2 linked regions of the Arabidopsis thaliana genome follow. The protein of the gene in region 1 interacts with the protein of each later gene in a pairwise test. Each region holds a gene or a part of one and is shown in the gene's direction. Other genes may lie near its edges. The genes, in order: EMF2 and CLF.

Region 1 (15,931 bases):
TTTGATAGGGGAGGAATAAAATTGTTCGTGACGTCGTTGAGTTTATCAAAGGACATCAATCTCTGTTTGACCAACTTCTTCGTGAAGACTTTACTCAAGCAGATGATTTATTGATGGAGCAAATTATTCTTGCAGTGGGAATATTGAGCAAGGTAATTCTTTGGCGAGCTATAAGTTCATAATTTTCTTTTGCTTCTCTTTTCGTGATGGCATCTTCAAAAGGGCTCATAAAATCCCACAAGCTAGTTAGATGCGTTTTCTAGAAAGTGAGATTGCTTGTTCTGTAGGTCTGGCCTTTTGAAGAGAACGATGGATATGGATTTGTTCAAGGGCTATTTGATATGATGAGCAAGCTTTTCATCGCCTCCCCGATTAAATCGATATTATCGCAGGTAGGACAAGTAGTTCAGGTCATATTTGAGTATCAGTATATATTTTTTCATGTGTTAGTGGCACCTTTTCATCACATCCTTGAATTCTTATATTCGATGGGTTTCTCTTTTTTGTTTCTCATCTGGTGGACAGAAGGGATCAGAGCTCAAATTGTCTCAGTTGCGATTCAGCTTGACTTCTTACTTATATTTTCTGGTGACCAAAAATTCTCTGAGGTTACAGGTACTCTACCAGTTATTTCCCTCTGTTTCTTCATTCCACGTTGACATTATTCAGTTGTTTGAATGAACTACAAGTAAATACTCATATGCCCCTTGTCCCAGGTTTCAGATGATTCTCTTGATAGTTCCACTAAACTACGCCAACCAACATTGCTGTTGCTTGCATCTCTTCTTTCGCATGTGACTGATTCCCTCGAGAGAGCAGCAGAGAAGAAGTCCTTACTTCTTCATAAGGTATATTATTCTAATTCCTACCATTTACATGTTTCAAACTCTTTTTTTTTTTTTTTACATTCGAAGTTGCATGTATGATTGGCAGATTAGAGACATAAACGAGCTCTCAAGACAAGATGTAGATGCGATCATCAAGATCTGTGATTCCCAAGAATATGTCACACCGTCCGACAACATACATAAAAGGTTAGTGAATTTCTTTCTTCTGCTCGCTCATGCGTGCATATGCCAAAGCAGAAATGGGTATTAACATAGAATTTTTCCAGATTTTTTCTATCAGTGATTAGTAAGACGTTTTGACCACTGTTTTTATTTGTTCGTGGCTCTGTTGTTACTTACCTCAGGAGATACATAGCTATGGTTGAAATGTGCCAAATCGTGGGTAACAGGGACCAGTTAATCACCTTGTTACTGCAACTTGCCGAGCATGTACTAAATATTATCCTGATCCATCTCCAAGATAGGTATGCCACTTTATCTTCAACAATTGATATCTTAAAAGTTTGGAAATCTACGGGTTTGCTCTAAGATACTATGCTAAACACTTCACATATGCAGATCCGTTAGTTCAAATGAAAGGGGATCATATGGTTCAAAATCCCATATACAACAGGAAGTTACAGATCTCTGTGGCAAATTGTCACCTACCATAGATAGGCTTGCATTACTGAATGAGGTAAGCCTAATCGATTTTCGAGAGTTTTCGATTATTTATGTGCTGAAAGTGAAAGGTGGTGGTGACCCGATTTGTCTATCCCAGGGAAAAGTAGGACATAACCTGAAGGTGTTCCAGAGACTGGCAACGACTGTAAAAGAAATGGCCATCCAAAAGTGTGTATGAAATAAGCTTCTCAAGAAATGTATTTTTGTGTGTCAAATGTCCAAATCTAAATTTGTAGTATGAGTCTGTATAACAAAATAGTAAATCCACATGATTTCAAATGATACTTTCTCTGAGACTCTTGAGAAAAAACTTTAAAAGCTCCAGCTTAATTTTAAAGTTATGAAAGCCAAAAGTTTTACCATTCACACTTTTAATGCTTTTCTTTTTCACAACAATCTTAACTATTCTCTGTTTACTATTCACACCTTTAAGTTTTACCGTTCACACCTTTGAGGCGAAGAGCTACTAATTCACAACAATCTTAACTATTCACACCTTTGAGTTGAAGAGCTACTAATACTATTCTCTGTGAGCCAAGTTGTTTTGGGCCGATTGGCTTAATGGATGTGGATTCCGAACTTCCTTTTAATTCTTTGCTTCTATAGTTCTATAGAGTGGGGGAATGGGAGTGACCATAACATCACGACCGATCGATAATAACGTCCATCACGTGACTTATGTCCCGGTCCATGTTGTGTACTATAGCAAAAAAAAAAAAGACCCAGACGTACGTGTCGCAAAAAAGACCCATCTCTACTCATTAACACATGCAACGGCTGCATGAAGACACTTTTGACACGTGACATGGCTCAAGCGAGCCCCACCAGCGCTCCTCTCCTTCATAAATCATCATTACTTACTCCGAAAACACATCACTACCTTTTCTCTGCTAATTTCTACTATTTGTGTTGGAGGGATATATTATAATAAAAAGAACCAATGGCGGACCAAACAAGAACCCATCACGAGATGATAAGCCGAGACAGTACCCAAGAGGCCCATCCGAAGGCCAGGCAGATGGTGAAGGCAGCAACCGCTGTCACAGCCGGTGGATCCCTACTTGTCCTCTCCGGCTTAACACTCGCTGGAACAGTCATCGCACTCACGGTGGCTACTCCTCTCCTCGTCATCTTCAGCCCCGTCTTGGTTCCAGCAGTGGTAACCGTTGCTCTCATCATTACCGGATTCCTTGCATCCGGTGGCTTTGGAATAGCCGCCATTACCGCCTTCTCTTGGCTCTACAGGTAATTTACGACCCACACAAAATGTGACCTACCGTTTCAAACCGAGCTTGCAATGCACGTTATATTTTATAGAAAGTTTGAATATTGGAGAATATGGTCATTGTATTTAGGCACATGACGGGATCTGGATCGGATAAGATAGAGAATGCTCGGATGAAGGTTGGAAGCAGAGTGCAGGATACTAAGTATGGGCAGCACAACATTGGAGTCCAACACCAACAAGTTTCTTAAAATTCAAAGGCTAAAAACGATTTCCACATTAAATTGTCATCCATCGTTAGATCTCTTCTCTTTGTTTTTATTTTCAACGTTTATGTTGTAATGTGTGATATATAATAACATGCAATGTATGATGTAATCTTGTTGTTGTTGTATGAGTAATGTTTTGATCCTTCTATGCGAGCGGAAATCTTCATATAGACAGTGTCATTGGTACATTACACAAATCTTCATAATCTCCTTCTACGCTAGCAGAAATCTTTAACCATGAACATTTGTTCTCTATAAAAGCGCTGCTATTATGTGGTACCAATTCATTTGTTGTGCTAACCTCAAAGACCAACAAAAAGAAGAATTTAATAAAGATGATGAATTCCACGATCTAACATACTATAGTTATAATACTGTTTCAAATACAAGATCATAAAATGTTGAATGGCAGATAAGTAATTACAATCGGCTATCGCCTTGTAGAAAAGATTTTGAGCATTAGTAAGCCAATTAAAGTACCAAATACCAATGACAGTAAATGCTCTAATTCAGTAATCTTATTCACTTTCACATTGTTTTCATGATCATCTGGATGCTAACAGCTAGCACATTCCCTTGTGTAGGTTTCTTTGGTTTGATATAAGTAAATCAAATGAAACAGAGAAACAAATGAAAGATTGATTCGCAAAGCACCACAGCTTCTTCTAATTTCATTCAAATCACAGGGGCTTGTTCTCCAAAGGGGTGAAGGAGAAATTGCCGGAGAATATGGACTCTTTATCTGTGTATGACAAAAAAGAACCATATAAGAAAAGGCATGTCTATTCGAAATGCAAATGCGAGTAACATAATGAGGCATTCCAACTATAGCGTCATAGGTACCTGTTAAAGAAAGAGAACCAAGTTCTCTCCGGACATATCTTGCCATTGCCTGAAACACACAAGCAATGTCTTAACAAGTTTGGTACACAATGCCTAAACTAGTATGTCAATGTGTGTGTGTTTGCGAGAGAGATAGAGAGGAGAAAATCATGCCTGTGCTGTTTTTAAATCTGTGTTATCAGGTGTTGTTGTTCCATCATCAGAAAATACGTTCCTACAATCCAATTGCATATAAGGTTCTGAGACAAATCCGTTATCTATGGCTGCCATATTGTATATAAATTCAAGCCGAGCTACTTAGCTGTGTAATCTCTACCGAACTCATTGCATAAAGCATGACGTTATAGAAGCTTTACCTCCATAATTTGATTTGTAGGTCATTTGGTTTAGCTTCCGGAAGTAGCGCAGCATCATAGGCAACAACATTTCCATAAAATATTCTCTCCAACTCCTTCATCCACTTGGCTAGCAGCAAGTTAACCTGTAATTTCAAGAAAGATTAAGACCATCTTATTTTAAGGAATCTAAGAAACTAAGATATCTCTTCGAAACTATATTAAAGCAAAACCAAGTCTAGCACGTACCCCGGCTTTAGATACCCTGAGTTCAACATCATGATTGTAGATCTCATAGACGTATTGACCAAGGTCAACACCTTCCTGTCCATCTTCCTTCAAGCGGCGTAAAACAAGCCACATATGAAGGACAAGCAGCGAATACGTTATTTTGAATGTTTTCTCCAAGTTGAATACTGCAGCAGAGACAGAGCACCCGATATATAAACAAAGCACAAAATGTAAATACATAACTCTGTTTGCAAAAGTTGTGTTGGAAACCAAATAAAGTACCATCATATATTGCAGGTTTATCAACTTGTGCAATGATCCGCTTGTAGATCACGTTAGCCCCACGGATAGACATGCTCTGTTTGCTATAGAACATCATCATCTTTAGTATGAAACGACGAATCCCTACATAGTCTGGTTCATCAATTCTGAGAGGAGAGTCTTTAGGCAGAGCCAATGAACATGGCTTTGACCAAAACATCTTATCCAAGTTTATCTGTCAAACATAGAACAAATCCTTTTCATCAAAGAAGACACGATTGTCCAGAAGCAGTTGACTAAAAGAGCATGAATCTAAATCACAAACATACTAATGAAACTCCAACAGAAAAAAAGGGATGAATCCTAAATGAGGTACAATGGGGAGGCAGAAGTCACTTTAGTCCCGCATTCGATGAAACTAGAAACAGAGAGAATCAAATTGAGCTTAGGTTCGAATACTATAGTGAGACCTAAACATTCACAACAACTACGCATTAACAGCTACTTCTGAAAACGAGATCTTTAATCTGAGTAAACAAAATGTTACCACTTTAAGATCATACCGGAGATTTACTGGGGAAATCCTTCTGCGACGGAGGATCAGCTGCCGCCGGCGCAACAGTCGCGTACCCATATCGGGAGAAAAAGGAGAGATTTTTCATCGATCCATTAGTGGTCAAAGATCGAAGCTTTGAGGTTTGAGTGACGACTCGAGCTAATCTGGGCAACATTAGAGAGAAACCCTTGTGGTTTTACTCAACAGATGAATAAATCTGAAGGGAGAAATTTGAATGAGTAAGATCGAATTCTAAAACCCTAGGCGAAAAACCCTCTCCGACTCCTTTTCTGTGTGATTGATGATGGGGCTAGGTAGTCGTCCACGTTAGCGTCTATTTGGCCAGATATTCAATTACAGTGCTAACTTACGCCGTTATTAGGAACGGAAAACCTTGGTTATGCAAAAACAAACACATTTTACCGATATTGGTGACACGAAACTGATGGTCGATTTTAGATAGTAAGAGTTGATGATACCATAAAATATGTTTGTTTATACCATTATCATTTTAGGGGGATAAGGAACTATGACTACTTTGTCATCCATTTTTTTGGTGGATCTCTAATTTGAACTCAAGTGGCTTATATTGAATAGTTAAGAAATTATGCTTTCTCATGGCCATTGGGGAATTTAGTTTCAATTAGTGAAAAGAGTTTTAATTAGATTTTATTGTGCACCGAATTTTACTGATTTAGGACATGGTTTACGCTTATTTTCTCAAGAGCAAAAATATTTACGGTCTCCTCAACAATATCATCAATTTACACTTTTTATTACTCTTCGAAACGCTTCATCTCTCTCTTTCTCTCTCTCAAGCTGTCAAAGTCACCTCTGTATTCGCGTGAAGATAATTTCTCACAATTAGGGTTTTTTTTTTCTTCTGAGTTAACTGTTCCATCTCCATCCTAATCTTCACCTTCTCCTTGATTTCGAGATCTCTGTCAATTTGTTGAATCTGTTCTTTATCTAATTAGCTCAACTCCGAGTCTTTGCTGGATTTTGAAGGTCACCACTGTTCAAGTTTACATTTTTTTTCCTGCTAATCGCTTGATACCCGTTTCTGCTGTTGTGGGATTTATTGGGTTTTTCTTCTTTACGATTTTTGTTGCAGCTTTTGTAGCTGAAGCAAATTTGTAATCTGTGATGGTGTATGCACTGATTCTGGGTATGGTATTGTACTCTAGGATCTCGTAGCGAGAATGCCAGGCATTCCTCTTGTTAGTCGTGAAACCTCTTCGTAAGTCTCATGAACAACCTAATGCTTCTATAATGTCTCTGCAGCATTGTGTAACTTTATACTGTTTCTCTTATGTATAAGCTGAGGAATCCTAGTAATTCAAACTTATCAAATTTTTATTTTGTTGTGGGGTTGCTTACAATTTTGGTTGCGTATGATGGTGAAATCACAGTTGTTCAAGAAGCACAGAGCAGATGTGCCATGAAGACTCCCGTCTGCGTATTTCGGAAGAGGAGGAGATTGCTGCTGAAGAGAGCTTGGCTGCCTATTGCAAGCCTGTTGAACTCTACAATATCATTCAACGCCGTGCTATTAGGAATGTATGTCTTCCTTCCTACCTTTTTTAGACAGAATATGTTTAGTTATGACTTATGAGCTCAGCTGATATATCACATGTATTGGTTTACTTTTGAGTTTTGACAATGAAAATTTACATGAAAATGTAGTTTGAGTTGACTTCATTTGGTATAAGCAAGTATGTGTTGTCTTGCTATGCAGTCCATCCTAATCATTTCTCTCTCTCTGTCTCCCCTGTAGCCCTTGTTTCTTCAGCGATGTTTGCATTATAAGATTGAGGCAAAACATAAAAGGAGGTAAGCTTTTTTTTTTTCCTTCCTTTCTCTGTTCAGAATCTCCATTACTTTTGGGTAACTATTACACTATACCTTAGTAATTCATTCCGGACTTGAATGCTTTCTAAGTTTTCGGATAGTTATCAATATATATTACTGCTTTGCAGAATACAAATGACTGTATTCCTCTCGGGCGCTATAGATGCTGGGGTACAAACTCAAAAATTATTCCCTCTGTATATTTTGTTGGCAAGACTCGTTTCTCCTAAGCCTGTCGCTGAGGTATGCATTTGAACCTCAGACAGATTTGCATTGATCTTTATTATTTGTAACTTACCTATTCTTTGCTAACATTTTTCTTGAAATTCTCAAATTATAGTATTCTGCAGTATATAGGTTCAGTCGAGCATGTATCCTAACTGGTGGATTGGGGGTTGATGGAGTTAGTCAAGCCCAAGCCAACTTTCTTCTCCCTGATATGAATAGACTCGCATTGGAGGCAAAATCAGGATCACTCGCTATCTTGTTTATCAGCTTTGGTGATTAAGACTGACTGTGTACAAAATTATATAAAGACATTTATATATGTACAGTATTCAGATAAACTGATCACATAATTTTCTTCTTGTAGCTGGTGCGCAAAATTCTCAATTTGGCATTGATTCAGGCAAGATTCATTCAGGTACTTCCATTTCTTCATTGATATAACATTCTAATATTGAAAAGTTATGTATCTTTGGGCATTACCAATTTTCCATGTAATAGTATGGAAAATCTCAGTCCTATTTATTAACAAAAGAATTAGGGATTCTTTGACTCCAATTATAAGAGTTTCTGAAAGTCTTTTTTTTCATTAACTCTTACCATCGGAAGCGTTTTTTTCTGCCAGGAAATATAGGAGGACATTGTTTATGGAGCAAAATACCTCTGCAATCACTGTATGCGTCGTGGCAGAAATCACCAAACATGGACTTGGGACAGAGAGTAGACACAGTCTCTCTTGTTGAAATGCAGCCTTGCTTCATAAAGGTAAACACTATTGCCCAAGTCTTCCTCTTGTTCTATGACTTTATGCTCCCTGTATTGAAATAAGGACTGTGTATTGAACTTCTTTTGTTATTTGAAAAAGTAAATTGGAAGTAATTGCTACTGTGAATTTTATTTTTGCCATTAGTTTTCAGTCTTGATTATTTAAATGAAAATATTACTGGTATAACTTGTCCATTGCTGCAGCTAAAGTCCATGAGTGAGGAAAAGTGTGTCTCGATTCAGGTGCCCAGCAATCCACTCACCTCGGTAACTTTGCACACTTTGCTATACTTCCATACATTATTCTGAAATATCATGTAATCATATTCTTACAATTCTTACACTTCTTATTTGAAGAGCTCTCCGCAGCAAGTGCAAGTCACCATATCTGCAGAAGAAGTTGGGTCAACGGAAAAATCTCCTTATAGTTCATTTTCATATAATGACATCTCTTCCTCTTCCTTGTTGCAAATTATCAGGTAATCTTCAGTTTAGTCTGCAATTTCTTCTGCGCTCTCAGATTTCTTGCCTCATCTCATTATGATTTTTTGTAATTGTATAAAATATATTGGCCGGTCTGCTATCTCCCTTAATATATAGTTGGCAGTTTTCTTGAATTGTGACTGTCCTCCTCTTTTATGGGGATTATACAAGTCGTTACGTACAACTAAAAATGTCCATCTCGTTAAGTTGACTCTATACCACTACATTCATTGCATAGGTTGAGAACAGGAAATGTAGTTTTCAACTACAGATACTATAACAACAAATTGCAGAAGACTGAAGGTAACTAGTATTATTTTAACCTGTTTCATACCCATGTGTGTCTATATTTCATCCGTTACCCTAACCTGTTACGTATATGTTTGCTATGTGTCTTGCAGTAACTGAAGACTTTTCTTGTCCATTCTGCTTAGTAAAATGTGCCAGTTTCAAGGTGGACTTTCATTTCCATTCTCATTCATCCTCTTAGTCAAAGATACAGCTGTAGTGACTAGTCTTTGTAGTGATGCAATCTTTTCTTTTTCTCCCAATCATGTTGTAGGGCCTGAGATATCACTTGCCATCAACCCACGATCTCCTCAATTTCGAGTTTTGGGTTTGTAGCTTTAAAATTCAGTTAACCTGTTTGATCTTTTTTTTTTATTTTGTGGGTGCCACTAATCTGCTTTACTTGGTTAGGTAACTGAAGAATTTCAGGCGGTAAATGTCTCCCTCAAGACTGAGACAATGATATCCAAGGTTAGAACATCTTGTTTGTTCGATTTATGTTCATTAGTTTCTCTGCTGTATATCTTATAGGCTGTAACAAATTCATTTTTCATTTAAACTAATATCCTCCATGGGTTGTTGACTTTTGTGTGGTTAAATAAGGGAACTGGAATCTTTAGTTGCTATTTGTCACACTATGATCCTTGCTATTGTCCTTAATAGCGTGATGAGAATAAACTCAAAATGACATCGCTGTTCTGTTTACTTTTTGTGGCCATGAGACCGTCAAAGCTCGACTGTAGAATAAAGTCCTGGATTATATAGGAGTGTCAAATCTAATTGAAGTAGTTGGTTCTACAATATATTCTATGTCTTTGTAGTTTTTCCTATTTGATGATTACTCTTAGCACAGTTTTCTAAATGTTAATGTTCATTAAAAAATCTGCTCAGGTTAATGAGGATGACGTTGACCCAAAGCAGCAAACTTTCTTTTTTTCGTAAGTTATCTGGCCTATATGTTGCCTTTTATTATCTTTCCAGCATCTGTGTGAGACCATAAAAATTCTTCAATATGTGACAGTTCCAAAAAATTCAGACGGAGGAGGCAAAAGAGTCAGGTACGGAGCTCAAGGCAAGGGCCTCATCTTGGATTAGGTTGCGAGGTGCTAGATAAGACTGATGGTATGTGTTTGACTGAAATGACAGTTAATTGGATTTGTAGTATTGGCTTCTTTTGTGATGAGAGCCTGTCTTAGTTGTATATTTTACGAGTATTTTACTTTGTTATGTGCAATTTTGCATGCAACAACGTTGGATCATTTGGCACAGCTTTTTATTCTTACTTTCAGATGCTCATTCTGTTAGAAGTGAGAAGAGCCGAATACCACCTGGAAAGCATTACGAAAGAATTGGGGGTGCTGAGTCTGGTCAAAGAGTTCCTCCTGGCACGAGTCCTGCAGACGTGCAATCATGTGGGGATCCAGATTATGTGCAGTCGATAGCTGGAAGTACAATGTTGCAGTTTGCAAAAACGAGGAAAATATCTATAGAACGGTCGGACTTGAGGAAGTATGTTTGACTTCCTTTTGTCGTTCTATCCTCTTCTTCAATTTATATTTAACTACATATGGTTCATGCATGAAAAATTGTGTCCTAGTTTTATAACAAGTAGCTTGTTAATCCCAAATGATGTGAGTGAGTTTTTCAAATTTTTTCCTCCTCCAGCCGAAGCCTCCTTCAGAAGAGACAGTTCTTCCACTCTCATCGAGCTCAGGTGATCTTTTTTCTTTAGCTCTCTTGCTTTTGAAGATTGCAATTGATTTTGACTTTGCTATGTGTACTATCGCAGCCCATGGCTCTAGAACAAGTACTTTCGGACCGGGATAGTGAAGATGAAGTTGATGATGATGTGGCAGATTTTGAAGATAGAAGGGTATGTTTTTGAATTTAATATTTTCACCGCATCAGTAGTTGGGTAGAATAAAGCTCAGTAGTTGGGTAGATATATGTTTCATGTGAAAGGGAAAGGAATATTGAAGACTGGGCATGGGCAAACGTTAGGAGCAATATTGTAATGGTTCAGAGATCAATAGAAAATATGTGAGCAAGCCTCACGGTTTGATATGGAACAGTAGAACCAGATCATTAGTGCTTATATAACACTCATTAAAAGACGAAGTGTGTCCGTTTGTACTCGATTCTAACATAGTTGATTCTAACATAGTTTGTCTGATTCTCCATATAGTGAATAACGTTATTTCCTATTACTATTCTTTCAGATGCTCGATGATTTCGTTGATGTGACTAAAGATGAGAAACAGATGATGCACATGTGGAACTCGTTTGTGAGGAAGCAGCGGTATGTCTTATCTCTTTTCAGTACATGTCACGTGGAGTTTTCCAGTATAAACATTTAGAGTCGCGCATGTAAAGGTTGTGGATAATTCCTGCATGAGTTCTTCTGGTTAAAAAAAAAAAACTGAACAATTAGATAACATACGCATCCATGTTCTCTGACTCATTATAAGCATTACCTTGACAGTGGTTTTGGACCCTTTGCAGAGTATTAGCAGATGGTCACATTCCATGGGCATGCGAGGCATTCTCAAGATTGCACGGACCCATCATGGTTCGAACACCGCACTTGATTTGGTAATTCAACTCTCATTTCTTCCATTGTTTTTTCCAGTGTATCGGAGAAGAAAGCGGTTTTGTTGATAAAAGTGAGCTTTTTTTGTGTAGGTGCTGGAGAGTGTTTATGGTGAAACTGTGGAACCACGGTCTTCTTGATGCCCGAACCATGAACAACTGTAATACCTTTCTCGAACAGCTCCAAATTTGAAAACCCAAGAAATCATTAATTTAAGTAGAAAAACAAAGAAAGACAAGAGAAGAAGAGTTTTGGGTTCTCATTTAACTACTTTTGGTGTTTTAAGAGAAAGAGGAGCATATTTATGCATGAATTTGTCCTCATCTTTTTTTTTTTTTTTTTTAATTATAAATGTGTACATTGGCTTATCTTTGACGCTTGTTCTTCGAGTAATGCTTTATACATGTTCCTTACTCATTTAGGATATCATATGGTTGAAAACTTGAAATACTAATTGACTTTGTACACTGGAAACCAGACATGGATGTTACTCTGGAAACATGCATCAACATATGTCCATGAAAAAATATTAGTTTTGGTAGAAGAAACAAGCTCACCTTTTTAGATTGCAAAATCAAAAACTTTCTCAAAAAGGGAACCTTGCTTATGTTGAGAGACAAGCATCGTATGGATCAAGAGTACTTTAGCACTAACACTATTATATATTATAAATCTAGTCTTAACAACATGATTAGCCAACTGAATGATATATAACCTAGTGCCATTGCATAGATCAATTTTATGATCAATATTTCCAAGTAACATGAGAGGGCCACCAATCTTCAGTCGCAAACTGTTGTTAGTCAATCTAAACAATTTGATGCTATTCAGAAACTCTTGAGAGTAAACCATAATATCAGTTGTGTTTGTAACCGACGTCTCAATTCTACACATGGCAATATATAGCTAATCAATTCCTATAAAATTCATAAACTAATGTGGGTATTAGAAGAAAAAAACGTTGTTATCTGATATAATGTGATATAGCATATTAATTACTCGTTAATCATATTAACATCTTGGTTTGTTGGATTTAGAATAGCTCGATCTCTCTCTTCAAAGAAATTATGATCACTCTCTTTTGCAAATGAGTCTCCATAATCTTCCTTTACTATTTCTTCTCTAGATGTTCGTGCTCAATTATCAGCAAATCTTCAGGGATATCAATCTCAGTCTCATCATTGTTCTGTCAATCACCAATATTTAGAATAGATTTAGAAAATCTTTAGGCCATGTGGGCCGGGGCCTGTGAAGAAGTCACTACAAACCCTAAAGGAAACAATCTATGGGAACAAAAACCCCTGTGATATCTATTTTATCCACATGAACTGAAATGCTTTACTCAATGCGCTCTTGATCTATCATCCCTAGGAAGCGAAGGATCAAATCGCTCTTCCTGTAGCATCCGCTTTGAGATCAACAAATAATCTACCTTTGCTTCGATCCGATCCGAGGCAAAAACCCTAGATTGCTGCTCAAGTAATTATACATGCTCTTTTCTCAATTTTTTATTTTCTTATCTGTTTCTAAAGTATTGAAAACAAAAAGAGGAAAAACTTATGTGTCATATTGAACTTAAACAGTAGAGTCATGTCGTCACTTCCCGATGATTTGCTATTGAGCATCTTCGCACGCATCTCAAGATTGTACTATCCGACTCTCTCTCTTGTCTCCAAGAGCTTCCGATCTCTACTAGCTTCACCGGACCTTTACAAAGCCCGATCACTCTTAGGCCACACTGAGAGTTGTCTCTACGTGTGCTTTCATTTTGATTCTGGCCCTAACACACATTGGTTCACTCTCTGTCGGAAACCTGACGGAACCCTAACCAATGACACCAGTAAGAAGAAGAAGTCAAATGGGTATGTTTTGGCTACTGTGCCAATTCCCCATTCTCCTCCTGCAAACTTTTCAAGTCTCGTGGCGGTTGGTTCTGATATCTACAACATTGGTGGATCCATTTACCTAGGACCCTCCTCGTCTAGTGTCTCGATTCTGGATTCCCAGTCTCACATGTGGCGCGAGGCTCCAAGCTTGCGGGTGGAGCTGATGTCACATTCTGCTAGCGTCCTTGACAGAAAGATATATGTAGCAGGAAGCTACAAAGATGGCAATGGCGATTCCAACTCCTGTAAGAACTTGTTCGAGGTGTTCGACACAAAAACACAAGTGTGGCATCCTGAGCCCATCCCATGCAGCAAGACAAAAGGCATTTTTTACTCCAAAAGCGCATGTATTGATGGAAAGTTTCACGTGGAGACGACTCACGGAGTGGTGTATGCTTACAAGGAAGGTAGATGGGACAAGGCTATACCAACGATGTTTGGTATGAGGGCTTCATATTCTTTTTGCGAGATAAATAATGTTTTGTTCTATATTCATCGCGGAGTGTTCAGATGGTATGATACTAAGTTAAGAATGTGGAGAATATTGAAAGGTTTGTTAGGACTACCTAGTTTACCTGAGAATATGTTTGTTAGATTGGCTGATTATGGTGGAAAGATGGCGGTTTTATGGGAAGAGGATCGCCCTTCTTGTGGGGCTGGTGGCAGAGATGAGATGATGATTTGGTGTGCCGTGATTGCGCTTAAAAGGCACCTAAATTTTAGTTTTTGGGGAAAGGTTGAGTGGTTTGATCATGTGCTTACAGTCCCTAAACAACATGTTTTCGTTAAGGCTCTTACTGCTAGTTTGTGATGAATGTGCCACAAGGCTTGAACATGTGTTCTTTTGGAGTATGCAACGATAATGAATGTGACTTTTTCTCTTAATGCACTTCTTATTATTTGATGTCAACAAAAAAGAAACTAAAGAGTTTTAATTTTGGCTTACTAGAGTTTAGTGTAACTAAAGATGATCACGAATACATTGTGAAAAAAAGAAGTTAAAACGAGTAGTACTATATACTATCTACTCTGTATAAAACAGAGCATTCTCTGTTATTAGTACATTTAGTAGCTTGACAAGTTACAAGCAAAGGCAATCCAACTTTAAAAACACTTTGATTGCTCTAATAGTAAGTATATACGATTTTTGAAATGTTTTATATAGGTCGTCAAATAAAGCCCTTCAGGGGATATAATACATTGGATTTGCGAGTTTGAAAGATCGTTGAGACATGGAGGTACCCAACAAATCACTCCATTGATCACCTGAATTGCCTCTAATCCTATATCCCTCTTTCACCATCTCATCTCTCTTCTCAGATTTGTATAGTGTCGCCATTTTGTGCTGTTCCTCTGGAGATCTGCACATCACACACAGACACGAGGGCAAAGCAAAACGAATAAACAAAGGATGTTCAAAACTGATGATGATATGTCTAAGATATCTTATCAAACCATTTGCAGAGATCCAGAATTCTATATGATCCACCAGCATCATCAACCATTGCATAACGAACAAACTCATTGCATGACTTAAAATCAAAGAGCTACCCATGTTTCTTATCAAACTATATGCCACCGGCATCAACCATTGCATAACGAAAAAACTCATGGCATGACCTAGAAGCATGTATAGTTACAACCTAAGAAGCTGCATTTGTTTATAATTATACCTGAGAATAAGCTTGTCCCAGTTCTGGAAACCAGCATTGATGAGATTTTCAACAGTGACAAGCCTGTGACTCTCTTTCCTCCCTGTAAGCAAGAAAACTTTGTATCCCAAATCTAACACTCTTTGGTAAAGCTTCAAGCTTGGTGCTATGGCTGGTGCCACTCCTCTCTCTACCCACTTATCAAACTCCGAATGATCAAAAAGCTCCAACCTTCAAAATTCCCAAAACATAATCAACAAAGTCAAGCATTTTCTATAACCAATTGTCCTCTTTTATGAGTTTCTCTAGCAAAAGAATCACATGAACATACACAAACCAAACCAAGTTTGAGATAAAAATGTGTAAAGTAAAAGTTTTGAGAGAATGTACCCAAAACCATGATCAATGTAATAAGGAAGATTGGATAAGAGAGTCTCATCGATATCGAAAATCCAAATATCTTTGCCATCGCCGGAGAATTCGATGCTTCTCGCGAAGATCAAAGCTTCTTCAGAGACTCTCTCCAAATCGGTGAGGTAGCCTTTACCCATCACATAGTCCTTCACGTAATCGGCACATTCCACCGGGATTGTTTTCCACGGCGCGAGATTGTTCATCTCCGCCGCGAATCTCCAGGTCGTACAATGCAAATTGACATCTTCTTCGGCAGCTTTCTTGTGTCGACTCTCGATTTCCGACGGGTACTCGAGAATCGAATCGGAAAACGCGGAGGTAAATAAGGAAACCACCACGAGGAAAATCAGATAAATCCTCATCGGAGAATCAAAGGAAATCGAATCAATCAAAAAAAAACCGAACAGAGAAAAAAACGAAATTAGGGTTTTCTGAATTTCTGAGAATTCACACCAATTGAGAAACTAGAATCAAAATTAGGGTTTATATTGAGATGTTGAAGAAGAGGGGAAAGAATAAAATGGAGAAAGGAATCGAGAAAAACTC
Region 2 (16,052 bases), on another chromosome or scaffold:
TCATTTCCTCTTTCTCTGTTTTTATAGTCTCCAGTGTTGTGTTCTTGGAGAGGATCGGTTAAGTATTGGTTAAGAAGGTGAGGAAAGTTTTGATCTTTATGAATGGGTTTTCTTCAAATCTTCTAAATGTGGCTAGATAAAAAAGATGACTTTATTGTGATTCGTCATGGGTTTCTCTTTAAAGTCTTAAACTTTATGAATTGGATTTTTCTTCTTTTTAGTGTATTGTGCATGTATAAGCCATTGATCGAGATTAGCTCATGCTTTCTATTTATACATTTGTAGGAAGAATTTTGTTTGTTCTGTGATTTGGGAATTTTTAGGACAATGAGAGTTTTTTGTCCTCAATCTTGGGTTTGAGTCACATTCGCTTGTAAATGTTGGTCCATTTTGAGAAATGTGGGATTGGAGAAATCAAACAAATCAAGAAAAAATCTGTGTCTTTTTATGGGTTTAGTTTATGTAAAGATGTTTTAAAGTTTTTCTGTTTTTTTTTGCTTTCTGTGTAATAGGATGTTGTGAAAAGTTTCAAGAGTAGTTGTGTGTGGCTTGTTGGAGGTAATAAATGGACCATAAAGCATGGCCTTGGAAGAAGAAATCAATGGAGAAAACCGTTGTTGAAAGCAATGGAGAGGTTAGTGGAAATGATGTTGATAACATTAATGTTTGATGTTAGGTTGGGGAATGGATCTTCTTTGCTCATTTATGTATCTTTTAGAGATGTTAGGTTTAGTATCAGAGTGTGATCTGTTTGACATTCATGTGTTGTTTAGCTCATTGTGTTTGAGGTTAAACTTGTCAAGAAAAATCCCTCAAGCTTTGTGATGTAGTTTGAGACACCCATGATTGTGAAACTTGTGTAATAGCTAAGATTATCTTGATGAGTTAGGTTTTTGACTCATCTGCTTTTAGCCGTATTTGCTGATTCATGAGCTTGATTGTTCATTTGTTCTTGGCATTCGACTGAGAAGGTTGTGGCTGACAAGATAGAGCTGGAACATCGCGTGAAAAGTCTAAATGATAAGCTTAACTCTGTGGAGGCTGAGAGCAATAAGCATGAGACTGAGGCGCAAGAAGCAATTGTTGGTAACTATACTGAATCTTAATCTACAAACCTTATTTTCCTCGATTTTGGTGCTCTTCACGGTCTCATGTGGCTTCCTGTTCCATTTGCGTTTTGTGTTAACAGGCTGGGAGAAGACAAAAGCTGAAGTAGCATCTCTCAAAAAGAAACTTGATGAAGCTTTGAATGAAAAACACAGGAGTGAGGAAAGGTCGAGTCACACGGATGCTGGTCTAAAAGAATGTGTGCAGCAGCTTCGTTTTGTTCGTGAGGAGCAGGAGCGAAGGATGCATGATGCTTTGACAAAAGCATCACAGGAGTACGAACGGCGATTGATTGTTATAAAGACGGAATTGGCAGGTAGTGGTAAGAGGCTTGCTGAAGCAGAAGGCGAGAATGCTCAACTCTCAAAGGCTTTGTTAGCAAAGAACAAAACTGTTGAAGATTTAAACAGAGAGAGGGACCGTATAGAGGTTGATTTCAATTCTTTGGTGAGTAGTTTAGAGTCGAAAGAGAAAGAAAACGTTTCATTGAGATATGAAGTTCGAGTGCTGGAGAAAGAGCTCGAGCTTCGGAATGAAGAGAGAGAGTTTAGCCGTCGAACTGCTGAAGCATCGCATAAACTGCACTTAGAGAATGTGAAGAAAGTTGCAAAGTTAGAATCAGAGTGTCAAAGGTTACGGGTTCTGGTCAGGAAACGGTTACCAGGACCCGCTGCTCTTTCTAAAATGAGCAATGAAGTAGAGATGTTGGGAAGGAGAAGGGTCAATGGAAGCCCTCATAGTCCGATGATTGATTCCGAAAAAATCAATAACCTTACTGAACAATTATGCTTACTGGAAGAAGAGAACAAAACTCTAAGGGAAGCCTTAAACAAGAAAGTCAGTGAGCTTCAGTTCTCGAGAAATATGTATTCTCGAACAGCGTCTAGACTACTAGAATTCGAGTCTCATCTTGAAGAATCTTCTAGAGGTACAAACATTGAGCCAAGCAGGAGTAGCAATGTGTCACATGAAGTCTCTCTTGCATCCGTAACAGAGTTTGACAATGATGATAAAGTTAGCTGTGCCGATTCCTGGGCTTCTGCTTTACTTTCAGAGTTGGACAATTTCAAGAACAAGAAGGAAATGGGCACGAGTTTGGTTGGAACCCCTAAAGCTGCAGAGATGAAACTAATGGATGATTTTGCTGAAATGGAGAAGCTTGCAATGGTTGCTAGTACAATCGATAACCGACCTGGAAGTTCTCCTATTTGTTCTTCTGATTCTATTTCAGCTACTGGTCCGGTAGAGAACGAATCTAATGAGAATTCATCAGAAGCAACTAAAACTTCTGGAACAGTTTATTCATTGAATCCTGATGCATCTCCCAAAGATGATATCAAGTCAGATTCGTTACCTCAATCTCTTCATATAGTCTTGAAAGCGGTAATGGAGCATAAGCATATCACGCAGAGAAACACTGATGAAGTACTTGAAGATATCAGAAAAGCTCTGTCAAGTGTAAACCATTCAAGCTTTTCTACAAACCATCAGGAGACTAAGACTCTTACTGTGGAGGATAGACTGGATATGGAGTGTAATATCAGCAAATCAATTCACAGAATCATTGACGTTATCGAGGGAGTCAGTCTTAAAGATGAGAGGCATGTGTCCAACAGAGAATCAGAAAGGCTTTCAGGTTACACTGCTCGCGTCTTGCAATGGAAAACTACAGAGCTAAGTAGTGTATTGCAGCGATTTCTTCAAGCTTGTTACGATCTATTAGACAGAAAAGCAGACATGAAGAAGTTTGCTCAAGAGCTAAGCTCTGTGTTGGAATGGATGGTGAACCACTGTTTTTCTCTTCAAGATGTTTCAACCATGAGAGATGAGATTAAGAAGCAGTTCGAGTGGGATGAATCACGGAGCGGAAGCGAAGTTGATATTGGAATATTTCGTCAGGTTTCAGAAGCAGAGAAGCTTAGAACGGAAGATGTTTCCTTTTTGGCTTGCAAAGATCAGTTGATTGAAGACAAACCTGGTAATCAAAACTTGTCGCGCAAAACGGTTGAAGAAGAGGCAAATGACAAAACAGCGAGGTAAATATGAATGCTTAAAGACTTCATGTCAGCAAAATCATACATTTTATCTCTGATGCATCCAATGGTTTTCTTGTTGCAGTGCTTCAGAGAACGAGCTCAAGCTGGAGGAAAAACAAAACATGCGAACCGTAAGTTACAAGCAGAAGAAAATCGATACCATTACATTGAGAGTTGTTTTTGTCCAAGACCAATCTGTTTTATGTGTTTGATGATTCAGGAATTGGAAATCGCTGCTGCTTCAGAAAAGTTGGCCGAGTGTCAAGAGACGATTCTAAACCTGGGAAAGCAGCTCAAGGCATTGACTAACTCAAAGGAAACAGCTTTACTTTCAGAAACACTCATGTACGACGTTACAGACAAATCGAACAACCTACCTGATGCACAACCTTCACATGAGACTACTAAACCAGAGAAGAGATTGACCAGCCAGAGATCATCTCTTTTGGATCAGATGAAGGCAGAAGATCACAACACCGGGGAATCCAAGGATCAGAAACCGCAAGCAGCAGATAAAAACGGAAAGGGAGGAAACAGCTCTGTTTACAATGAAACCATTGAGGCACTAGAACAGATTCTTCTCTCAGACAAAAGCAAAGGCTCCGACTCAAACTGCTTTGCCATTGTTCCTCAGAAAAAGACCGGCGGAGTTAAGAGCCTCTGGAGAAAGCTGTTGGGGAGAAATAAGAAAGGTAAGAGCAAGAAGGTCCCTAATCCATTTGCCAACTAAGAAGATGGTGGCATCTGTCATCTAGACTATAATCTAATACCTTAATCCTGTTTCTTTATATGGTCCCAAAGACCCAAACTATGCAAACTAAACTGTCATTTTCTAGATTTTTTTGGCAGTATATATATAATCTCCACGTAGAGTATTACTCTATAAGATGATCATTCTGCTTTATTCCACTTTTAGTCTCAGAAAGGATACAATCAGTAATCTTGACCCAATGAATCTTTAGCAGGGTTAATGTAAATCTTCAACGTAGACACTAAATGCATAAGATCATTTGATATAATGTCATCTCAGGTCTCAAAAGAACAAATTGTGGCCTTTAAAAGAGACTTCTCAATCTCTGTACAGAACAAACTTGGCGATGTCGTTAAGTCCAGCTTCCTTGTAGCACTGAGCAACCCGTTCCAGTGATTCGTCCCATGTCCCTTCAAGTGACGCTAGATTCAGTAAGAACGCAGCCTCGTCCAAAGATGCCTGAGAATTACAAGTTTTGTTTCAAGCCTTTGTATCCATAAGCATGATATGAGTATCTGATAATGAATACAGGCAAAGAACAAACCTGAGCCATTGGCTTTCCCCTGTCTATATCCCGTTGTTTTCCTTCTCCTGTAACTCTCTCCTTATACTGCGCAATTTGCTCTTCTCCCCACTCTGCTATTTGAGCAATTTCCTGGGAACCCGTTTCATATGTTCAACACTTTTTTCCCTTCTCTTTTCGATTACCAAAATTGCTTGTCGATAGTCAAGGAATTGTACCTCATATCTGCATCCTAAGGTCCACCACGAAGATTTCAAAGCACCCCTAGCTGCGTCTTTCGCTTCTAAGTTACGCCCAAGTCTACAAAATATATAGAGGTCTTAGAGTTTTCTAGAAAGGACGTAAGCATTTACCTGGGGGTCGTTCACAAGGGAGAAAGAGGGATGATGAGAAAGGATCATACGAACTTCAGTAAAACTTTTGCGTTGAAAGCGAATGGCCGGGCAAATCCGGGAAAGTTCCCTCTCTTTGTATAAAACTCGGTAGCCACCAAAGCTGAAACCTTGTATTAGCACGTGAAGATAGTTTAAAAAGAGAAAACACGTCAACTACAACAGGATAGATATAATTACTAGCCTTACATGGTCTCCATTCTCGATATGCCGAATAACTTTTCGTTCAAGAGAATCTGGAAACAATCCAACCTGAATTACAAAGCTAATAATCATATCCCAGTATCCATGTGCAGAAAAGATTCTGATATTAACAGGCTCAATATATGTACCTTTCTTAAAAGATAGGCATCTAAATCCATCAGTCTTGAACTGGCAAAGTCACCCTTACTGTAAAGTTTCTTCCCAGCTTCACCAGCAGCATTGAAGATTTCTTGGCTGCATTCTTCGGGTTTGGAAACATCTTCTTCCACCAATATTCTGTGAATGAACTGATCAACCTGAATGTTGGCCAATGAAGTCAGATATGAGAATGAACACTCAACAAAAATAACCCTAAATTAACGCATCAGTAATGCTATAAAAAGACTCATTACATTATTAGCTAGAAACCAAACCCCATGTTTCTGAACTTCCACCACAGGCATCTCCATACTGCAAACACCACAAACAATGATAAGCTACAAAAGAAGAGAAACATGACGATATTAAAAAAGCAAGGAGGATCTAACCTAGAAGGAGCTGTTGGCCACCGTAATAGAGCAATTGAAGAACCTGAAAAAGGAAAGTCATACAAACTTAATATGAAAGTGTTACAACCTCAGATAAGAACTTATGTACAAGTCCAGAATCATACCCGGGCTCATTTTCACCAACGGAATAGTAAGAGGTAACAAGCCTTGCTTGGCACCAGGAGAAACTATGGATTTACCTGATCCAATGTCATTACCACAAGCAAAAGTCACCATTCCGCAAGTTAACAAACAAAAACTTCGAAAATACGATCAGCAAGTCAGTGTAAGATTGATTTACCTCTAGCTGTGAATATATTCAGCAGCTGCATCAGATGCTTAGGAGGCTGAGCTTTTGCTATATCCTTAATGAAACATTCATGTTCTGCACATAATCAATCGTTAACTTCGATTCACTGATTGTTCAAATTCGGCACCGTAAGAATCATAAACCAATCTCAAGCCATCGCACAGCTTCCAGAAGTTGCAAATGAAATAGCGAAGATGTGAATCCCTCTCACCAGATAGTGAAGAAGAAGAGCAAAAGGATCTGGCGAAGTTTCTGCTGCCATGGAGAAGTATCAGTCTACGTTTCCGTCCGAAAACCGCCGCGCCGCGATGCATCTCAGAGTTTTCCGATCGCCGTACTGTTTCTCGTCCGATGAGATTACAGAGAGACTTCGAAAAGCTGTTGCTGAAAAAAAAAACAAAAAATAAAGCCCAAACAAATAGGGTTTAAGAGCCCATTAAATCAGAGCCCAGCAACGTTCGTGTTTGTTTTGTTCAGTTGATATAGAACCAGTCTCGAACTCTAGTAGATTCGTTGTCTCGAGCTACGTGATATTCCGGTAAACCGTCGCCGGAGATGTACAGTAGATAATTCAAATCGAGCTGCCACGTCGCTATTTTCCCACCAACTTTTTTTTTTTTAAATAATTGGAAAAAGTTTCTAATTTACACGCTTCCCAATTCGTAAACAATGTTCTTTAAAAGTAAAACGAAATTTTTTTTGGATTTGAAGATAAAAGATCCAAAATAAAAACAAAATTGAAGATAAATTTTTAGGGTTTATAACGACCCGCCAAATTCCTTCTCTCCTCCAACATTTCAGATTTCGCGACCCGGATCTTAACCCGGACCCGCATTTGTTTCGGTTCCGATCTGGTTTCTTGACAATGGCGTCAGAAGCTTCGCCTTCTTCTTCGGCCACCAGATCGGAGCCACCCAAAGACTCTCCGGTGCGTCAATCGTTTTTTTTTTTTTTCTTACTTTCTAAAAATGGAACTTTTTTCTTTGTGCTATTGAGGCATTGACTTTGATTTGCTTTAGTTTGAGTGAAGAGAACGAAACTCGATGGCTTGTTTGAGCTTCTCTATATGCTCGTTTTTAGATCTAGAGATTGCTGGATTGTGAGATATGAAGTTGTTTTTGGGTTCGTTTAGGAACCATTTTTGCTGCAATTGATAGTTTCTCTCATTGAACACTGTGTAAAGGAACCTCATTTTGATGTTTCAGGCGGAGGAGAGAGGTCCAGCTTCTAAGGAAGTATCAGAAGTAATAGAATCGCTAAAGAAGAAGCTTGCAGCTGATAGGTGTATATCAATAAAGGTTGCTATTTTTGTTTAGTTTTTTTTTTGTATGTTTTATGTGTTTCTGAATCTGATTGTTAGAAATTGATGTGTTTGTAACCAGAAAAGGATTGATGAAAACAAGAAGAATTTGTTTGCTATTACTCAAAGTTTTATGAGGTCTTCTATGGAACGAGGAGGTAGCTGTAAAGATGGCAGTGATCTTTTAGTTAAGAGGCAAAGAGATTCGCCAGGTATGAAAAGCGGAATCGATGAAAGTAATAACAACAGATATGTAGAAGATGGACCTGCCAGTTCAGGAATGGTTCAAGGATCTAGTGTCCCTGTCAAAATTTCCTTACGTCCTATCAAAATGCCTGATATCAAACGTTTGTCACCTTATACCACATGGGTTTTTCTGGACAGGTATGTTGACATTAATGTCGCAAGAGTACTTGAAAATATTCAAGTTGAAATGTAAGCCCCTCGCATAGTATCTTAACGTTATAATCACTCTTGAAATGATGCAGAAATCAAAGAATGACTGAAGACCAGTCTGTAGTGGGTCGAAGGAGAATTTATTATGATCAAACTGGCGGGGAAGCGCTTATCTGCAGTGATAGTGAAGAGGAGGCCATTGACGACGAAGAAGAAAAAAGAGATTTTTTGGAGCCTGAAGATTATATTATTCGGTTAGTATTAAATGGCAGGAGTTTAATCATTCTTGCATTTTGGTCTCTTAGTGTGAATCTCTTGTCTGCTATGTCAACTGTTATGCTGGTTTGTTCTCACTTATATTGTTGGATTAAATTTCCCTTCGTTTCTTCAGCATGACCCTTGAGCAACTAGGTCTTTCAGACTCAGTCCTGGCGGAACTAGCAAGTTTCTTGTCTAGAAGTACTAGTGAAATCAAGGTATCAACAACTTTTTTCTCTGCCTATTGCTTGTGTGAACTATCATGTGCTATTTTCTTTAGAATCAAGCACTTCAGTTGTAGGATTTCAAAACAGAGTGAGGGATGCATTGTTTAAGGAAATCCAATTAGTATTGTTCCAGCCCTTTCCCAATTGGCTTTTTGCAGAGATATGAACACCGACCATCTTATACAGGCAAGACATGGAGTGCTTATGAAGGAAAAAGAAGTATCCGAGAGTGGCGATAATCAAGCAGAGAGCTCCCTTCTCAACAAAGATATGGAAGGAGCATTAGATTCTTTCGATAACCTGTTCTGCCGTAGATGCCTTGTTAGTCCATTTGATTTTCTCAGGCTAATGTTTCATGGGTTATTGCTTAATGATCGAGCAAACATTGGTCTCTTTTTAACTTTTGTATGCATCTATGCAGGTATTTGATTGCCGGCTTCATGGGTGTTCACAGGATCTCATTTTTCCGGTGAGTTTAGTGCCAACCGAAAAAATCTTACTATAACTTTAGTGTTACTTATCTAATTTTATGGATTTTTAGGCTGAGAAACCAGCTCCATGGTGTCCTCCTGTAGATGAAAATTTAACCTGTGGTGCAAACTGCTATAAAACGGTAAATTTGTTATTTTCTCGTTGCTAAGCTCATCTCCTAGAAAGACTGGTTTAACAAAAAGCGTTGTTTTCAATTTATCAGCTTCTCAAGTCTGGAAGATTTCCGGGATATGGCACCATTGAAGGTAAAACTGGCACTTCATCAGATGGTGCAGGTACTAAAACCACACCCACGAAGTTCTCCAGCAAACTTAATGGGAGAAAACCAAAGACCTTCCCAAGTGAAAGTGCATCGTCTAATGAAAAGTGCGCACTAGAAACAAGTGACTCAGAGAATGGACTACAGCAGGATACCAATTCCGATAAAGTTTCATCATCGCCAAAGGTGAAAGGTAGTGGGAGACGAGTAGGTCGTAAGAGGAACAAAAACCGAGTTGCTGAGCGAGTTCCTCGTAAGACTCAGAAGAGGCAGAAGAAGACAGAAGCCTCGGATAGTGATTCCATCGCCAGTGGAAGTTGTTCACCCAGCGATGCAAAACATAAAGATAATGAAGATGCTACTTCCTCTTCTCAGAAGCATGTAAAATCTGGGAACTCCGGGAAGTCAAGGAAGAATGGCACTCCTGCCGAAGTCTCCAATAATTCTGTGAAGGATGACGTTCCTGTTTGCCAGTCAAATGAGGTTGCGTCAGAGCTTGATGCGCCGGGTAGTGATGAAAGTCTAAGGAAAGAAGAGTTTATGGGTGAAACTGTATCTCGAGGAAGATTGGCTACAAATAAGTTGTGGAGACCACTTGAGAAAAGCCTTTTTGATAAAGGTGTTGAGATTTTTGGAATGAATAGGTGGGTAATTTTGATGTATTTAGCTACTGCTAAATTATCATTCTGCTTCAGGTTTTTCAATTTGTGGAATATAGTCATATGGATTCTTTGTTTCTTTGCAGCTGCTTGATTGCTAGAAATCTTTTGAGTGGTTTCAAATCATGTTGGGAGGTCTTCCAATACATGACGTGCTCGGAAAATAAAGCTTCCTTCTTTGGAGGTGATGGATTGAATCCTGATGGCTCTTCCAAGTTCGATATCAATGGAAATATGGTATATTAACACTAAACCTTTTTGACTTTGTTTACAAATTCCTGATAAAATCGATTTATTTCTCTTCGGATTTAATGCTTTAGTTTCTGGACTAACCAGGTTAATAACCAAGTGAGGAGAAGGTCAAGATTTCTACGTAGGAGAGGCAAAGTGCGGCGCTTGAAGTATACCTGGAAGTCTGCTGCATATCATTCAATTAGGAAAAGAATTACTGAGAAGAAAGACCAGCCCTGCCGTCAGTTTAATCCATGTAACTGCAAAATTGCTTGTGGGAAGGAATGTCCTTGTTTGCTAAACGGGACTTGCTGCGAGAAGTACTGCGGGTAATGTAATCTATGATTATCCACATCTGTATTTCTTAGCTTTGAATCTCATTACCAACAAACTATATTTTCTGTGTAGTTGCCCAAAGAGCTGCAAGAATAGGTTTAGAGGTTGTCATTGTGCCAAAAGTCAGTGTCGAAGCCGCCAGTGTCCATGCTTTGCTGCAGATCGGGAATGTGACCCAGATGTTTGTAGAAACTGCTGGGTCATGTAAGTCTTATTGGGGATGCAAATCCATCCTAATTGGTTTCTTAGAAAATGCTCAAGAAATGCAACTTTTTTTTTAGTAGTTCCAGATGCACTTATACTGTGTCTGAATGAATTTGAATGTGTAGTGGTGGGGATGGTTCGCTTGGGGTCCCAAGCCAAAGAGGCGATAATTATGAGTGCAGGAATATGAAATTGCTCCTGAAACAACAACAAAGGGTAAATACTTAGCCTTGTTAACTAAATATCTATGATCTGCAATCAAATGATTAAACATGAAATGGCTAAATTTCCTCCTCTTTTTTATGTTAATTTCAGGTTTTACTTGGAATATCTGATGTTTCTGGTTGGGGAGCTTTCTTAAAGGTATATTAGGTTCAAAATTTGTTAAACTGATAAGTCCTTCAAAGATTAATCTATGTTTAGAGTATGAACTTGCCTTAAGAACAATTATTTTTCCTTCTTACAGAACAGTGTAAGTAAGCATGAATACCTTGGGGAATACACAGGAGAGCTGATCTCACATAAAGAGGCAGATAAACGCGGGAAGATATACGATCGCGAGAACTGCTCTTTTCTCTTCAATCTAAACGATCAGGCACGTCTCAGCAGCTTTGAAATGTCCCAACTCTCTTTCTCTCTAGTCTCTAGGTTGTCTTCAAATTTTAAAATGTTTTTGGATTGTGCTGCAGTTTGTGCTAGATGCTTACAGGAAAGGAGATAAACTGAAATTCGCCAACCATTCTCCTGAACCTAACTGTTACGCAAAGGTAAAAATGTGAAAAGTGCAAGTTAAAGATACGGTTTTCGCATGATGGGTATGTTCTGTTTTTCCTCAAAATCTTTGTATCTGTTCAAGGTCATCATGGTTGCTGGAGATCACAGGGTGGGGATCTTCGCAAAAGAGAGGATACTGGCTGGAGAAGAACTATTTTACGATTACCGGTATGAGCCAGATCGAGCTCCAGCTTGGGCCAAAAAACCTGAAGCTCCTGGTTCTAAGAAAGACGAAAATGTTACACCTTCTGTTGGTAGACCCAAGAAGCTTGCTTAGCAACAAAAGAAACAACCATTTTTTTGTCAATTCTTTGGTTACAGGTGGAAGAACGCTTTAATCCTCATTACTCTCCACACGGAAGAACACATTGAAACAAATTCATACATTTTGCTGAGTCTAAAGAAAAATTGTATTCGTTGGATTAAAATTTCCTTTTTTCGTTTTACATTTCTGGATTATCATTTTATTGTACTGAGACTCGGGTTAAAGTTTTTAAATTACAGATGAGAAACTTGGTGAGCTTTGGAGCTGACATCAATGTGGTATTCCTCACACATCACAATCTATATAAATTAAATTAGGCGTCAGTGTACATTTGGTGATCAGAAAGTAACAAAACCAAATCAGAAAACGAACATGAGCAGCCAAATTAAAATGTACATTGACGCATAAACCTAAGAATTAAGATATACAAGAATGTTTGCGATAACCAAGATATAAATGCATCTATTCTATTTTCTCTTTGAAGGGTCCATCTTCATGCATCAGTCTGATGACATAATCCATCTGCGATGCACAAAGTTACATTGTTTAAGTCGATGATCCAATTACATAGCTATGTTTATATACTCTTTTAACACCATAACTTCAAAACATACCTGATTTGATTCGCGCACTAAAAACTCGTCTATGGCTTGCCTGAAACCTTCATCGAATATGTAATGGCAACTATATGTTTTAACGGGAAGGTAGCCTCGCTGAATCTTATGCTCACCCTGCGCTCCAGCTTCTACCGTTTTCAGATTAAGCTCTATCGCTGCTTCAATTGCCTATGAATCCCATTATCAGTTTGTGAGTTTTAATCAAGTATGTCTCGGCGAAAACTCTTGAGACTTTGAAACAACAAGACCAACCTGGTAATAGCATGCTTCAAAATGGAGACTAGGATAATAGGAGTCGGGACGACATCCCCATAGTCTCCCAAATAGAGTATCTCCTCCAATGAGATTCAATGCTCCTGCAACAGGTTCCTCGTTTTCTTCAGCTAAAACAAGCAATACCTTGTCTCCCAACTTCGATGCCATGTCGTGAAAGAAATCCCTTGTGAGATAAGGTGTGCCCCATCTAAAATTAGCCGGAAATCGTTAAGCATGTGAAAGGACAAACACAGGTAATGCATACACTTGACGATGACAGGTAATTGAATGTAAGTATGTTTATTATGCACAAAGACACATAATGTGTACTAATGATAAGAAAAACAAAAATGTCTCAAAGATAAAGACTAAACTTGTTATCAGTTGTGTTCCTGTAGAAATCATAGAAGGAATCCCAGTGCCTAGCCTGCAAAAACATTAGGCACAAACGATGAATCAAATTTTTAAGACACATATTAATATAAAAGCCCCATAATGTCCTTTATAGCATGTGCCATCAGTTCTAACCTCTGGTAGCAGATTGATATCCCATGGTTGATTATTTATAGCCATTAAAATGAAAAGATACCGCCAGGCATAATCAATTACAACAAATTCGTCTCGTGGCAGTTCAGTTACATACCTTTATATCATCTCCTTGTAGCCGTCTCATTTTCAAATTCTGGGTACCAATCTACTAGAGAAAAGGAGCATTAGAAGTCAGCAGCGTGCTTGAAAAACGCCACAAGGAACGGATAACGAAATAAGGCCACAATTCAAAAGTTGTATGGGAAGAAAAAAAGAGTAACCATTCCATTTTACTATTCACATGAGCAAAGAAACTTAAGAGACAAGAATAAATTGCACAATGAGGATGATATGAAAAGAGGAAACTAAACAAACCTTTTTGCGTTCCTGTCGGATATTTTTCCTTTTGCTTTGCTTCATGTCCATCAAGAACTCGTCAAAACTGAAGTATTAGAGATAAAAAAAAAAATGAACAAAATATAATAGCAACTACTTCCAATCCAGTCATTGTTAAGAACTAATATACTGGCAACTAACTTCAATTACTTTTTATAATCACGATTTTTCCAGTGGTACTGCATTCCAATCCTTTGTGAGAAGCCTTTCTCTTTCAATTTGTCCCACTCAGCTCCAGACGGAAATGTAATGTGCAAAGATGAAACTTGTAACTGCCAAAGCCCACAGAATACAACTAGTCTGTCAGCAGTCAGCAGATAGCATATGTTGAAAGCAGAACTCAACACAAGAGAACCATTACAGCTTCAAGAAAGTAAAATGTGAGATTGTTCCTATAGTAATAAGGATAGCTAATAAATAGTAGAACCTTAGTTCTGTATACCATGAGATCACAAGTTTAATCCTGTTCCAAGTCTTGTTTTTATCTATAACACAGATAGATTTCATATAGAGATCATACCTTTGATGCCAATTCCGTCATGGCAGAAACAATAGCATCAAAAACTTGCTCTTTGCAAGGATTATCACGGATAAGAATCCTAGGACCAGTAACTGGGGTGAAAGGAACACAACACTGAAGTTTAGGATAATATCTTCCGCCAAAACTTCGGTATGCATCAGCCCAAGAATGATCAAAAACAAATTCGCCATAAGAATGGCTTTTGAGATAAAGTGGAACAACACCCAAAATACTCTCACATTCATCCTTTGCAACAATGTGTAATGGCATCCAACCTGTTTCCTAATAACATTTTGCAGATAGAAATTCCCATAAGAAAGACAAACATCTATGCTTGCTTCTTTCGGTTGAAGAATAAAGGAAATTGCTTCACTAACCCGAACGGCACAACCAGTATCTTCTAAACTGGAAAGAAATCCATAACTTAGAAATGGATTATAGCTTTCAGGTTGAGAAGAATCCAACGCACATGCATCCCATTCAGCTTGTGGTATCTCAAATATTGAAGAAACAACTGATAGTGAAATCACCTTTTGCTTCGGCTTGTTTTCCAAAGCTTCCTAAACTCGAAACGAAACCACTATTAGAGAACTGATGATTTATCAACTAAAATCAACAAAGAAAATTGAAATGTTAAAGCGAATAATTTGGCACGAAAAGTTCGTAGCTAACAGCGTCTGAAAGCTGTTTACATAAAAAATAATCAACAAAGAGATTGAAATACCTCAATGTTTGATTCAGTTAGAGTGTAATCTCTAAGTGATATATCGAATTCCTTTACTTCCGCAGGCTTATTGGACTTCCAAAACATAGCAGTAACCGAAGATGATCGTCTTGAACTCCTAACATTTTCTTTCTTCCACAAATTTCCCTACAGAGAGATGATGAAGATGATGATGAGATTGAATTATCTGAATCCAAAAGTCTAATTGTATAGCTACGAATTCGTAAGAGTAAGCCATAGATAACATCATAGCCAAAGAAAAACTCACGCAGCGACGATGGAATCGACGAAGAGGAGGCGAAGGTTTGCAGTAGGAAAGTACAACGGCCATGGACGAAACTGGTTACGCGTCGGTGTGTTTGAAGAGGAACGTGAAAATGGAGTTCCGACGCGACGGCGACGGCGGCGGCTCCGGCGCTCAAGTGGAGTCACAGTGGTCGCTGATGATTTTTTTGATTCATGGGAATTTGGTTTATTTGCTTCGTGACGTGTCAATTTTGGGGTCTTCAGTTATTTTTTTGCGTTGTCGATAAGGTGGGCTATTGATTTGACAGCTAGGCCCATTAAATCGAGTGGACATGGACCTTTAAAGCCCAAACTATTTCCCGCAAAGACTGATTTTCAATTTTAGTGCTGTAGAACTAGGTTTCTGAGATATTTTCTTGTATAGCAAGATATTGATTTTTAGTAACAAACTGATACATGCGTAGAAGGAGAAGCAAAGACATCACTGATTTTATCCGATTTAAAGACATATATTACAATGAAACGTGAAACAAAGAGCAAGTAGTTTGATAGAAATTATAGATGAATAAAGAGGATGAAAGGTGGATCACACGCGACAACCAAATCGTCTTTCCCTGCCCTGATACGAAGCGAGGGCCTCTAGAAGCTTATCCTTATCGAAATCAGGCCACAATACCGGCGAGTAGAAAAGCTCGGTATAAGCAAGTTGCCACAAGAAGAAGTTACTAATCCTTTGTTCTCCACTTGTCCTAATCATTAAATCAGGACTTGGGAAGTCACTACAATTCGTTAGAAGCTCTCTCTCGATCAATGCCTCGTCTACATCTTCCTCTCGGATCAACCCTTTTTCTGATTTCTTCACAAGACTCTTGCAAGCATGCATGATATCAAATTTCCCGCTGTAATCTACTGCCATGATGAGATGCTTATTCTTGTAGCCTTGGTAGCTTCCTCTATCTCATGGATTTCTTTGAGGAGAGATTCAGGGATCTTCGTTTTATTCCCGATAACAGAAACGCGAACTTCCTTTCTGTAACAACAAGATAATTCTTGGTAATGAATAACCAGAGAGAATATGTCAAAACAAAAGAATCACAATCGAATTTGTATATATACCTTTGAAAGTATTGAATGTTGGACTTGAGGTAGTGGTTGAACAAAGACATTAAGCACTTAACCTCAAACTTATATAATAACAACAAAATTTGTTAGTGTCTATAATTGTATGAGAATATAATCTACTTGTGAGATCTACAATGTAAAATGTCACACCTTGTCTCTTCCCCAATTCTCTGTGGAGAAAGCAAAAGCTGAGACTGTATGAATACCCAACTCGAAGCAGACCTCGGCTATCTCTATAATTCGTTTAGTTCCAGCCTCGTGGCCTTGTGCCGTCGTCAATCCGTCTCGTTTGGCCCATCTCCGGTTCCCATCTAGTATGAATGACACGTGTCTCGGCATCAGCTCTCTTTGTAGCTCCTCCTCTCGGACAACACAAGTTGCCTCATCACTATA

Evidence for each region.
Region 2: the proteins of EMF2 (region 1) and CLF interact in binary tests that used the Arabidopsis thaliana proteins (3 or more experiments, as listed by UniProt).

Annotation. Positions count from the first base shown.
Region 1 is NC_003076.8:20,817,720-20,833,650, forward strand, and holds EMF2 (VEFS-Box of polycomb protein), read left to right. Parts: upstream 1-5,924; 5' UTR 5,925-6,239; exon of another isoform or gene 6,240-6,345; 5' UTR 6,346-6,433; coding exon 6,434-6,471; intron 6,472-6,643; coding exon 6,644-6,791; intron 6,792-7,008; coding exon 7,009-7,064; intron 7,065-7,210; coding exon 7,211-7,325; intron 7,326-7,422; coding exon 7,423-7,582; intron 7,583-7,674; coding exon 7,675-7,725; intron 7,726-7,932; coding exon 7,933-8,072; intron 8,073-8,276; coding exon 8,277-8,339; intron 8,340-8,429; coding exon 8,430-8,551; intron 8,552-8,793; coding exon 8,794-8,858; intron 8,859-8,956; coding exon 8,957-9,009; intron 9,010-9,117; coding exon 9,118-9,171; intron 9,172-9,254; coding exon 9,255-9,314; intron 9,315-9,734; coding exon 9,735-9,781; intron 9,782-9,864; coding exon 9,865-9,965; intron 9,966-10,132; coding exon 10,133-10,352; intron 10,353-10,508; coding exon 10,509-10,557; intron 10,558-10,632; coding exon 10,633-10,716; intron 10,717-11,062; and 7 more. Other genes in the region: EMB3142 (nuclear pore complex protein (DUF3414)), read left to right, coding at 9-152, 288-392, 526-615, 717-848, 934-1,034, 1,193-1,312, 1,407-1,524, 1,609-1,689; OLEO3 (oleosin3), read left to right, coding at 2,452-2,756, 2,867-2,987; AT5G51220 (ubiquinol-cytochrome C chaperone family protein), read right to left, coding at 3,686-3,747, 3,849-3,897, 4,002-4,062, 4,205-4,329, 4,433-4,599, 4,697-4,910, 5,239-5,406; AT5G51250 (Galactose oxidase/kelch repeat superfamily protein), read left to right, coding at 13,024-14,130; AT5G51260 (HAD superfamily, subfamily IIIB acid phosphatase), read right to left, coding at 14,503-14,680, 14,993-15,202, 15,362-15,747. UniProt on the Arabidopsis thaliana protein: Polycomb group (PcG) protein. Involved in flowering processes by repressing unknown target genes and preventing reproductive development.
Region 2 is NC_003071.7:9,948,855-9,964,906, forward strand, and holds CLF (SET domain-containing protein), read left to right. Parts: upstream 1-6,237; 5' UTR 6,238-6,715; coding exon 6,716-6,778; intron 6,779-7,055; coding exon 7,056-7,148; intron 7,149-7,232; coding exon 7,233-7,534; intron 7,535-7,638; coding exon 7,639-7,800; intron 7,801-7,937; coding exon 7,938-8,022; intron 8,023-8,159; exon of another isoform or gene 8,160-8,193; coding exon of another isoform or gene 8,194-8,217; coding exon 8,218-8,352; intron 8,353-8,452; coding exon 8,453-8,500; intron 8,501-8,572; coding exon 8,573-8,644; intron 8,645-8,725; coding exon 8,726-9,426; intron 9,427-9,527; coding exon 9,528-9,678; intron 9,679-9,777; coding exon 9,778-10,001; intron 10,002-10,080; coding exon 10,081-10,212; intron 10,213-10,337; coding exon 10,338-10,428; intron 10,429-10,527; coding exon 10,528-10,575; intron 10,576-10,678; coding exon 10,679-10,807; intron 10,808-10,901; coding exon 10,902-10,979; intron 10,980-11,068; coding exon 11,069-11,263; 3' UTR 11,264-11,532; downstream 11,533-16,052. Other genes in the region: AT2G23360 (filament-like protein (DUF869)), read left to right, coding at 566-634, 972-1,086, 1,190-3,143, 3,226-3,274, 3,364-3,873; AT2G23370 (cyclin delta-3), read right to left, coding at 4,213-4,353, 4,439-4,549, 4,636-4,717, 4,825-4,919, 4,999-5,061, 5,142-5,309, 5,406-5,463, 5,541-5,583 and 3 more; AT2G23390 (acyl-CoA), read right to left, coding at 11,714-11,773, 11,866-12,036, 12,121-12,331, 12,498-12,550, 12,767-12,817, 13,027-13,093, 13,198-13,319, 13,568-13,849 and 3 more; AT2G23400 (Undecaprenyl pyrophosphate synthetase family protein), read right to left, coding at 15,124-15,403, 15,448-15,567, 15,654-15,721, 15,810-16,047. UniProt on the Arabidopsis thaliana protein: Polycomb group (PcG) protein. Catalytic subunit of some PcG multiprotein complex, which methylates 'Lys-27' of histone H3, leading to transcriptional repression of the affected target genes, mainly abscisic acid (ABA) responsive elements.